Arabidopsis thaliana: one gene and its partner. The protein of the gene in region 1 purifies or fractionates together with the protein of each later gene. This does not show direct contact. Each region holds a gene or a part of one and is shown on either strand. Other genes may lie near its edges.

Region 1 (6,197 bases):
CATCATGAAGAAGGCAAAAATAGATCTGTTGAAGAGGTACACTTCAAAGTTGCACAATCACCAGTCTTACTTATAAGGTTTATAGCAACAATCTATTTCTTAATTCAAATCTTCTGATGGTTTTGATTACAGTCAAGAAGTGAAAAATCTTACTGCGATTAAAAGGAACACCATTCAGAAGAGTTTCAGGTATCATCTCCCCAGCATCTATTTAGCTATATCAACCCACATTCGTTATCCCCCAAACCTGATCGGTTTGATTGATCATGTCTTGTCTAGTATTTCTACTCCAAAGAAAACTGGCTTATCTGCGAATTCGCCTTCAACTTCAAGAAGCATTCCTTATGGTGGACGAAATCTTACTGAAACTAAAAAGAACACGATTCAGAAGAGTTTCAGGTAACATGTCCTCAGTATCTATATATCTATATGGATCCACTTCTTTATCCCCCAAACTTGATCGGTTTGACGGATCATGTCTTGTATAGTATATCTGCTCCAAAGAGGACTGGCTTATCCGCTAATGCGCCTTCAACTTCAAGAAGCGTTCCTTCTGGTGGACAAAAGCTACCTCCAAGGAGGATCAACGGCCTTCCTGGGACTGCTCCTTCAACTTCAAAAAATGCAGCCACCAGACAAAAACATGTAATGTAACTTATATAGCTTTTTTACAGATCATTTTTTCTTCGAGTGTATCATTTACATGGCTACTTCAAGTTTCAAGAACTCCGAGTTTTGAAACTCTGGCTTGATGATATCCTAGTTTGTAACAATAGATCTTCAAAAGTTTTTACAATGATTTAATAAAGTGCTTTGTTTTCTACTTGTTGCTTTGGCCGAGATATTTCACAACAAACGTCTCTGCAGAAGCATTCGATATAGAAATTAGAGTAATAATCCATAACCATAAATCATTTTATACAATAAACACGTTCTGATAAGAAGACAAACAAGGCGGACAAACACCCTTAGAAGATGGATTGAAGCAAATATAGATCAAGTCTATATTGTGCCTACAAAATGAGAAATCTAAGTTTCGAGTATGATCAAGTATCTTAGCTTTAGGCTAGAGAAACCAATCTCTTTTATTCTTTGCGGTGTGGTTTGATGTATAGTATGGACCCTAAAAGGGCCTACGTCTAAACTGAAGATCCAGCCAAACGTCTTCTTGATGCATTTGAAGTCGCGACTTGACCCAATTTGTCTGACTCTTTCGAGTCATCCGTCACTATTCTCTCTCTCACTGGTGTGTAATGCCTCAGCCACACGCCTGTGTACACCTGCAACATTTAATATTCCAATGAACCATCCAAGTTTCAAATTGATCCAAAGAAAAATCTTTCTCTTATTATTCTTGGAAAGAGATTAACTATACCTGTTGTGGTCTCATGATCTTGGTGTCAGGATCATCCAGTGACTCTTTCCAATGTGACAAGTATCCAGCCATGCGAGGAATCGCGAATAAGACCGTGAAGAACTCCGGTGGAAATCCCATTGCCCTGTTGTAATGGTCCAAGTTTGCAGATTTAGATGAAGTTGAGAGGAAGTTATGGATACTGCACATGCATTCAAACTTTTACCTGTATATTAATCCAGAGTAGAAGTCAACATTTGGATACAGCTTTCTCTTAACAAAGTAATCGTCAGAGAGAGCTGCCTTCTCAAGTGCAACAGCAACCTGCAGACATCAGAATCAAACACATTGGCTTTAAGGAAACATGAAAAATTACACTAAATCGAAAAGGTGGGCATCAAGTTGTAGTATAAGCTTGAACTTCGTGGACATAGCGTACCTCAATTAGAGGATCCTTTCCAACAATGGAAAATACTTCATCAGCCAGGTTCTTGATGACTTTAGCTCGAGGGTCATAGTTTTTGTACACACGGTGTCCAAAACCAGACATCTTCCTCTTCCTAAGATGTCAAAGGGATGAGAATTTTAATGAAAAGACTTGTCACAAACCTCGGAAACGGAAGCATATAGTTTCAAGAATTGATTTTACCTGTTCTTCACACCCTCAATGAACTCTGGAATATTTTCAACAGTCCCAATCTCTGACAACATCTTAAGCACAGCCTAATGGAACCAAAGACATGAATTTCAAAGACCATGGAGCATGAAAATACATCAGAAGATGTAACATATGAAGACATGAGAATAAATAGCATACCTCGTTTGCACCACCATGAAGTGGACCATAAAGCGCTCCCACAGCTCCAGCAACAGCAGTGTAGACATCAACACCGCTACAAGAAGACATTTCCTAATCAATATATCTCCTATCAAGGTCACTAAGATTCCAACCAAAGATAAGTACCTAGAGGCAAGATGCCGAGCAGCAGCGGTGGAGCAGTTCATTTCATGCTCTGCATGCAGTATGAAGAGGATGTCCAACACCCGAGCCAGCCGAGGATTAGGTTTGTAGGATCTATTTCCCCTGTAAGAAGTGTGTTAATGGCACGCTACAAGTTATGTACACAGTAAAAAAATAACTAGGCTTCAAGTTCTCTGAAGCGTCAAGATCTAAAACTAAATCTAAAAGTTGAGTTTCTAACTAATTCAAGAAGAAAGAGATAGCAGAGACATACAGGGAATCAAGCATATAGAGGAAATTATCTGCATAAGGAAGGTTTCCTGAAGGAAGAACAGGAGGCCTTCCTGCCATCCTCAGATAAGCAGCTGCTGCAATTGTTGGTGCCTGCACAAATCGCAAACACGTTTAGTTGCATCAGATCTTCATGAAATTCAGAGTCCAAATATGTTTATGCGTGACACAATATAGGAAGAAGTAAGGTAACCACTGATAACAAAAAAATACCTTTCCAATAATGCGGATAATTTGTTTATCTCTAACTTGTTTTGAATCGTAAATATCCTGGCCCTGCACCCAATAGAGTATCAGTCAACATGTTTATACGGACAATTTCAAAAGAGCTAAAACTAGCGAGTGACAAGGCCTGACATGTTGTTAGAGAAGTAATATAAGGTTAAACCTACCCTAAGAGCAGGATTAGCATCAGGATGAAAGATGGAAAGCGCACTCATTGCACTCACAAGAACTCCCATTGGGTGTGCATCATGAGGCATAGACTGTATAATATCCTGCACAAAAGTTATCAAGTAAGTGGAGTTAGATATGAGAAATATATAGCTTTGAGTACAGCACACAATCCTCAGAACAACATGTATAGAACAGTCTTGACAAATTATTGTTCGACCAGACAAGAAAATAGGCTACTAGTAAAGAACAGGCTAACTCCATTTTACAAATCGAAATTGAAATCCATCAACCAAGGATTAGAGACTCACTAATACACCTTGTGGCACAGCTGAATGCTGAGAAACTGCAAACTCCCAATCAGATAGCTGACTTTCAGAGGGCAGATTCCCATACACTGCCAGAAAATATAGTAAAGGAGAAAACTTTTCATCAATGTCCAATTCGATACACATAACACTTGAAATTGTGTAGTAAGGTTAAAAGGTAAAACACTTACTGAGAAGATAAGCCACCTCCAGAAAAGTACTGTTCTCAGCCATTTCCTCAATTGGGTAGCCACGGTAACGAAGGATCCCTTCATCTCCATCGATGTAAGAAATCGAAGATCGAACAGGAGCCGTGTTCAAGTAACCTGGATCGTATAACTTAAGCCCCTTGTCTTCCTTCCCCGTCACTATCTGCAAGCCAAACAACACGCAACAAAGCAAATTCTCAGCTCAAAATCCCACAGTGATAGGAAAATGGTCATTTAGAAAAAGGGTTAAACCTTTTTGAAATCAACGGCTTTAACGGTACCATCATCTGAGACCGGAACTTTATAATTTTTTCCGGTGCGTTCGTCGACGATCGTCAGTGTTCCCTTCAAAGATCCAAGCGGTGCGACACTCGTATCCGCCGACGTGCACCATCGCTCGATCGCTGGAGAATCCTGTTTTCCTTCCGATAAATGACCTGAGAGAACAGCTAATCGAGCTCGAACTCTCTCTGATATCTCCATTCAACCAAAATCAAAATTCAAAGAAGGAGAGAAGAAGAAGAAAGGGAGCGAAGAAATTATTAGAAACCATTCTTACTCTTCGTTAATATAACACGTGTCTTATCCCCTGCGGTCAGGAGTATTGAACAGTATCCACGTGTATGCGATCTAACGGATATCTTGATATCCAACGGCGTAAGCCTTATTGACCCAACTTGGACTAACGGTGATGATCTTCTCCATCTCTAAGCTGTCAGAATTATGTGGGACCCACTTATCAGTATTATCTAGTTAGTCAATTGCTTTCCTCGATTTGCTAAATATCAATTCGATTGCTACGCAATGCTGAATGGGCCGAATTGTCTTAATATGGGCTTCTGTATATTCATCTTTAGGCCCAACAGTATACCACTTTTTATTTGGGCCTTTTTTGTTGATACGGCTCGCTTTACCATCGGAACCAACCCAACATTCATTTTTCGAACTATGACTGAAATCTTATTAAAAAAATGAATGTAAAGCTAAATATGGATGTTGCGTTCAAAATAAAACTCATGAGTTTATGGATGTTCTTCATAAATTATAGTTATCATTAATCAAAAGATGGAAAATACAAACGGTTATTTACTCTTTAATGTTAGTGTACGAGGCTATTAATCTTATAAGTTGTATTTATGTATTATATTATGGAGAATGAATAGGTCTAATTACGTTTTAAAAAAAAAGCATGGAGGAAATGAGAGTGAAAGGTATAATAAATGACATGTTAAAAGCGACGGGTCGTATATTTTGATTCGTACCTAAAAATAGAATTCTAAGTTTACCCCACGTGAGGCTCTGAATCTGAGAGTGATAGATTTTTCTTTCCCTCCTTCCGTTTTCAACACATGATGACATGAACAAGGAACTGTTCCTTTTTTTTTTCTTTAAACATTATCTGCAACGGTGATCACTCACTCAATGATATCTTTCATTTATAACTTCACACGTCTATAAATTAAATTTGTTCATAGGATCTACAATAACACAATTAACATCACTTGTGTTTTTAAGTTATTCAAGCAGAGGCATAGTAATTGATAAAAATAGACAACAAGAAAGCATTTGAAACAAAATTACTGTTGTAAACAAAGCTTTTTCACGGTAATGGAATTCCGAAATAAAAATATATAAAAAAGAAAGTGACAGAGGAAATGTGTGAGAGAGGCAAAGGAAATGCAATATTTGCAGGAAGAAAAAAAGCATGAGAAAAAAGTAGGTGTGGATTTAGACACATGACTGACAAATTATATTTTTCTAGTTTCTCCTCTATATGGTGGTTTCTGCGTTTATCATGTTTAAATATATTTAAACCTTTCATTAGTCACATCACATCCCAAAAATGTGTACGATAATAAAAAGATTGTTTATATACCAAAATTAATTGGTTTACTCAATCATCTTTTTAATTTTGGTCATTTGATACGATCAATCATAGGGTGTCCTAACGTTAAGTTCGATGACGCTGCTACCTCTTTTGAGCGTACCATTCAGGGTCCTACTCGGCTACTCCTACATAATGAATTTAGCAAATAGCAGTTTAAAAACAAATTACGTTAGTTGATTAAGATAAATAAATTAGCTTAACACAAATTTGAAATGGTTAGTTGAAACTCAATTAACATTAATTTTTCTAGGTCTTCAATTTAGTTGCATGGTTAGACTTGAATCAGGTTGTGTCGTTTTATCAGACTCACTGCAAACTCTTTGTCCAAACTGCTCCCTTATTTTTGTTTATTACACTCTATGTATGTAAATTTTATAACAGATTTACTAGAAATTTAATTCTTACCCAATAGAAAACAAAAACGTCGTTTCATTTCATTTGTTATTTTCTCTTTTGTATACAAACACATATTTATACACACGGCTATGAAGTTGTTCAGGACCATTATGGATGACTCGAAATAATTTTATTAACAATCATATAAAAATCTGAAAATACTAGTATTATTATTAAACTAAAAAAAAAACACAACATTAACGTACATTGCTTTAATAGGAAACTAATACACATCAAAATCGACTCTATTAATTTATTTCCCTAGAAATCATCGGTCTACTTTGGGAACAAACACAATTCTTCTCTCTTTTTTAGGGATTTGATAAATATTTAATTCTCTGTCTGTTTTGTCTTTATCTCACTCTTAGAGAACCCATCGTTGATGTAAACCTAGAAA
Region 2 (5,188 bases), on another chromosome or scaffold:
TTCAAAAAGTAAATGTTAATAAATCTAATTTTGGTAACTGAATTTCCGATTGGTATTTTTAGTATATTAAAAAAATTAAAACTAAATGCTAACTAATCGAGTAATCTTTCTTTAATTGTTTAATGAGATCAATGATTCAGTTAATCAGTAATTACTAATCGAGTAATATCTTTTTTATTTAATTACAATTATCATAAATCACATTAATTGTTTTGACTAATTTTACGGGGTTTATGGTGTACATTTAAAATTCAAAAAAACTAAATGCTACTAAATCCGATTTTGGTAACTGAATACCTTCTTTTAATTTTACGGGGTTTATGGTGTATAATACTATAATCCCTCTTTTGTAAAAAAGAAGAAAGAAATTTAAACTCTATAGAGTTTGTTTTTGGAGCAAAGATGCTAGAGTTTAAATTTCTTTATATTCTTCAGAGAACTCTCTGTCCCCAAAAAGGATTACTGCTAAACCAGGACTGATTAGTTTCTCCATTCTTGAAGTTTCGACTCTGATCTCCTGCATGATACTTAGTTCCACAGCCGTTTGATCAAATACCATCGCCTCATCAGCTGAACAGAAAAGTAAAATCTTAAGAGTTGGATATCTGAAAATACGTAAGCAATTGGATGAAAAGGTTTAGTCTATACAAGAGGAGCGAATGGAGAGAATGTGGCCACGTCCGGGCACAGTGGTATAAGAGGAGCGCATGCGGCCACGTCCGGGCGCAGTGGTGGGAAAGCTTGAGTTGGCTGACGCACCAGCGGGGCAGGAAAGCACCGTTGAGGCGGTTCAAATCGATGAGACGCGAGGTCGTGGAGAAGGAGCAATCGGTTAACATCAACGACGCCATTATTTTACTAGGAAAACAGAACAGTGGTCGTGGCTTCGAGCTCAAGTTAGGGTTTAACAAAAGTAATGTAGAACAAGTGACTGTGTTTTCTTGTTTCAAATTAACCTTCGTTGAAAGGTAGTTATAAATAAAGTATAATGACGAAGAGACCGATGGGTGAGGCTGGGATATATCATAGCTGGGATAAGTTAAAACTAGTTCTGACTCAAAATACCAAGAAGAGACAAACAATGTTGAAGACAATTTATGTGACTTAAAAACTACATGTTTTGTTTCATAGAACAAAACGATAACTTTCTTTAAAGACCAAAGTAAATCATTGGCTTCAAAAAACAGAGTACGATTTGTTTGTTTCCCAAAAGGCCAGCAATCTTCTTTTTAAGTGACGTCACTGGAAGTTGTGAATCCTCTTAGCTGATGTTAAAGTGTTGGATAGAAGCATGGCTATGGTCATTGGTCCTACACCGCCAGGAACAGGTGTGATGGCTGATGCAACTTTGCTAGCCTCCTCGTAGCAAATGTCTCCAACCAATCGATATCCACGCGCAGCACTTGGATCCTGCAATTCATATTATGTACATGTATGAATGTTGCATACTGGTTGATTTGAAACTTATTATATCACTGAATTACGCCATGACCATATGTCAAAAAGAAAATTCCACTCACCTCAACAGGATTAATCCCAACATCGATGAGGACTGCGCCCGGTTTTATCCAGCTTCCTCTGACCATGTTTGGCTGTCCAACAGCTGAGATTATAATATCAGCTTCTCTTGTGATTTCTTCAGGGTTCTTGGTTCTTGAATGGATAATGCTAACGGTTGCATCCTCCCTCTACAAATACAAAACACAACAATAAAGACCAAACATGTAACTAACTTTCGAATGTCACAACCAGAAAAAACGGCATCTTAAAGAAGGTATCATCATCATTACCTGCAGTAAAAGAGCAGCTGGCATACCGACAATGTTACTCCTTCCGATAACAACCGCTCTCTTTCCTTTGATTTCAATGTTGTATCTATGCAACAACTCAATGCATCCTTTTGGAGTACAAGGAACGAATAAGGGTTCTCTTCCACGCATGGCAAGCCGTCCAATATTTAGCGGATGAAATCCGTCAACATCTTTCTCTATACTAACCGCATTCAGTATGTTCTGTTCATCCATATGCTGCAACAACATCCCAAAACACTATTGTAATTCACTGTTTATTTAAGTTCCGAAGAAAGTTATTAGACTTTGTTTACCGATGGCAGAGGCAACTGAACAAGGATTCCATGGACAGAAGGATCATCATTGAATCCTGATACAGATTTCAACACCTCTTCTTCTGATGAATCTTCAGCTAGACGAACTTCGAACGATTTGATTCCAACGGAGTCACAAGCTTTCTTCTTGTTCCTCACATAAGTTGCAGAATCTTTTCTGTCACCAACAAGGATTACTGCTAAACCAGGAATCACACCAATTGATTCCTTCATTCTTGAAACTTCAATTGTGATTTCATCTCTAATCTTTTTTGCCACAGCCTTTCCATCTATTACAATTGCGCCACCCTCTGATTTTGTATCAGCTGTACCAAAAAAAAAAAAAAAAATTTATGATTCCAACATGAGAATAAAGAAACTCAATTTTCCAGGGAAGAACAGTCTAATTGTCTACAAATTTCAATCGATGTCAAGTTCAAATTTGGTGCTCAATTAAGTCAAAAGGTTTAATCATTACCGGAAATGGAAGAAATGGGAGAAGAAGAGGAGCGAATGCAGCAGCCACGGCCAGAAGCAGTGGTCTGTAAACGGAGTTGGCCGACGCATTGACGGAGGAGGAAAGTACCGCTGCTTCGGTTCAAATGGATGAGACGCGACGTCGTGGTGGAGGAGCAATCGGTAAACATCATCGACGCCATTTTTATACAAGGAAAACAGAACAATAGTCTGCTCGTCGTGGCTGAGTTAAAAAGGAAGAAGGTAATGGTGGAGACAGGAAGACTAATGAAGTCTTTTAATTTGTGATCTAGAGCAAAGCAGAGCAGAGAAGAGACGATGAATTGAAGAAGATAACTTCGTCGTCTACGGAGAGTCGGAGAGACTAGGGTTTCTTCTTTTGATATCAACAAGGGTTTAAGTTCATTCAAATCACAAAAGAAACCGGTTTGTTGATTTCACCTGAATTTTCCGGTTTTATTATACCAGTCTTTCGTTTTCTTTTCTTTTTTAATAAATCCAATCGGACCGCTTCATATTTTTAGTAGCTTTTTAATTTGATTAGTCGTCTTAAACTCAGATTAATCATGTAATTAACACTGATCAATATATAAACAATACATGTAAGTTCGTTGACTTACGGTCTATTCTCTATTTGCGGTCTAAAGTACCACACTAGATATATATACCCTTGTGATTTAACTCGAGAGCTCCAACAATCAAAGCTAAATGTACTACAAGTGGTATCAGAGCAAGTCATGTTATTGCGATTGCCAAGATTGTTGAAGGGTGAAGCAAAGGTAGAAAGTACAGACAAATAGTGTCGGATAAATGAGGGATAGATTCACATATTAGACCCAATATGTTGAATACAAATATTATTTGCCTTTGTTTTTCCCCCAGAGGAAAGAAACTAGAGAAATTTCAACACATCATCATCCCATCAAAATTTTGAGAGTTTGTTACTTTTTCTCCGCTAAGATTCTTCAAAATAAGGATTTTGGTTTCTGTACAGTTTTAAGCAAAAGAAGTTGAAATTGTGTGGTCTTACCAGAAGCGAGAAAAAAGGTTAGATAGCGAGTGTGCCTTCAATAATCTGGTTATCGTCAGATGTTTCAGATGGTGATGGTGGTTTTGGTTTGCTCGTACTTCTTGAGAACCCGTAACCTAGAGAGCTTCCACTTGCCTCACATAGCTGTACCATCATAGGATCCATTAAACCGGAGAGTAAGAAGAATTGTAGTTTTTTAAATAGACCAAATATATACCTCAGCTAGTTCAGACAAGTGACGAGATCTGAACTCGTTGATCGTTGTTGCTATTTCTGATGTAGGTAATTTGGCCTGAAAAAGAAGCCGACAAGTTTAACAAATACCCCAAATAACATTGTTGGTGACTTAATGACTACAAGAATTATCTCTTGTACCTGTGCAAGAACAGCAGCTGCTAACTGAAGACTTGGTTCCAGCGTCTCAGGAACAACCTAACGAGTTTTTGTATCGAGATTTTAATCAGTTTACTTTGAAAATGTTGTGCAATGACAGAAGGAGAATAGAAAAGTTGTGGAAGTTATTACAGCGGTAGCGCCGGCTTTTTCAAGATTGAGACCATGATCAACGTCATGTGCACGGACAAAGGTTTTGACATTGGGGAAATATTTGCTAAGAGCCCAGACACACCTGTAATTTGCTCCAGGTGTGTCTAAAGCAATAGCCGCAGCACATGCTCTATCTGCCCCGATTTTGTGGAGTACCTGCACGTATAGGTAAAACAACGTCAATAATTTTGGATGATGTGTGGTTATACTTTTGACTTGTTTCATCAGCTTTCTACTCTTACCTCTCTACTACCAGCGTCTCCAAAATAAACTGGAAGATCTAGGGAACGACCAATTGCTACTCTATCACTGTAAAATAAGAGATTTTTGGTGCGAAATGAGACAAATAAAGAGCTGGTTAGATACATTGAGCAAGACAAGGCAAGCATGTTACATTACCTGCTGACATCGAGGGCAACAAATGGGATAAGTCTTTCAGAAAGAAGCTGAGCGATTATCTGCGTTTAACATTTAGAAAGCAGCGGTCAAAGACGAATTTAATCATATATCACCAAACTATTCTCTAAATCAAACTATCTAAACTTCTAGAGGAGTTTGTTTTCGCAACAAAGTTTATAGATAACGATACCAACCTGCCCAATTCGTCCAAATCCGCAAATAATGATGTGACCCTGTAAATCATCCGTCTGCAAGTAAATTCAGAAAGTAAAGGATCAGTCATTTTTACCCCAAGAATGCATGAGCTTCGGAAGGATATTGAGGTCAATCATGGCTTTATTGTTTTAAATTTACAATTGAAACTAGGAATGGTGATAAATGACTTATTTTAAAGTGTTGTGAAGGAGTACCTCGCTTTCAACTGGTAATAAACTTCGAACATCTTGTAACTCAAATCGAGACGCAATTAATTGGCCGCCAGCAGCTAACCAAGGAGTAAGAGCCATTGATATTCCCACGACGAGAAACAGTAATGAAGATAGCTGCGGAGTCATTATACCCTGGAAGAAATACCAATCAAGCCTTAGAGGAAACATGGGAATAAAGTAGAACTGAAACCTCAGCTGTCATAT

The links. The genes of interacting proteins can lie anywhere in the genome.
Region 2: the proteins of CSY3 (region 1) and EMB3127 fractionate together in Arabidopsis thaliana (co-fractionation; one large-scale study listed by BioGRID). This does not show direct contact.

The regions. Positions count from the first base shown.
Region 1 is NC_003071.7:17,801,993-17,808,189, forward strand, and holds CSY3 (citrate synthase 3), read right to left. Parts: upstream 4,082-6,197; 5' UTR 4,000-4,081; coding exon 3,769-3,999; intron 3,680-3,768; coding exon 3,499-3,679; intron 3,397-3,498; coding exon 3,311-3,396; intron 3,104-3,310; coding exon 2,999-3,103; intron 2,883-2,998; coding exon 2,820-2,882; intron 2,700-2,819; coding exon 2,590-2,699; exon of another isoform or gene 2,439-2,589; coding exon 2,319-2,438; intron 2,248-2,318; coding exon 2,172-2,247; intron 2,078-2,171; coding exon 2,004-2,077; intron 1,915-2,003; coding exon 1,794-1,914; intron 1,679-1,793; coding exon 1,581-1,678; intron 1,500-1,580; coding exon 1,376-1,499; intron 1,281-1,375; coding exon 1,140-1,280; 3' UTR 849-1,139; downstream 1-848. Other genes in the region: AT2G42780 (transcription elongation factor B polypeptide), read left to right, coding at 1-36, 133-189, 280-399, 489-654; RLP29 (receptor like protein 29), read right to left, coding at 6,165-6,197. UniProt on the Arabidopsis thaliana protein: Peroxisomal citrate synthase required for the fatty acid respiration in seedlings, citrate being exported from peroxisomes into mitochondria during respiration of triacylglycerol (TAG).
Region 2 is NC_003075.7:258,026-263,213, forward strand, and holds EMB3127 (Amino acid dehydrogenase family protein), read right to left. Parts: upstream 3,265-5,188; 5' UTR 2,764-3,264; coding exon 2,583-2,763; intron 2,431-2,582; coding exon 2,105-2,430; intron 2,028-2,104; coding exon 1,791-2,027; intron 1,689-1,790; coding exon 1,521-1,688; intron 1,411-1,520; coding exon 1,240-1,410; 3' UTR 962-1,239; downstream 1-961. Other genes in the region: KEA2 (K+ efflux antiporter 2), read right to left, coding at 3,630-3,755, 3,829-3,903, 3,987-4,043, 4,137-4,313, 4,400-4,466, 4,557-4,615, 4,751-4,804, 4,967-5,116. UniProt on the Arabidopsis thaliana protein: Catalyzes the oxidation of 5,10-methylenetetrahydrofolate to 5,10-methenyltetrahydrofolate and then the hydrolysis of 5,10-methenyltetrahydrofolate to 10-formyltetrahydrofolate.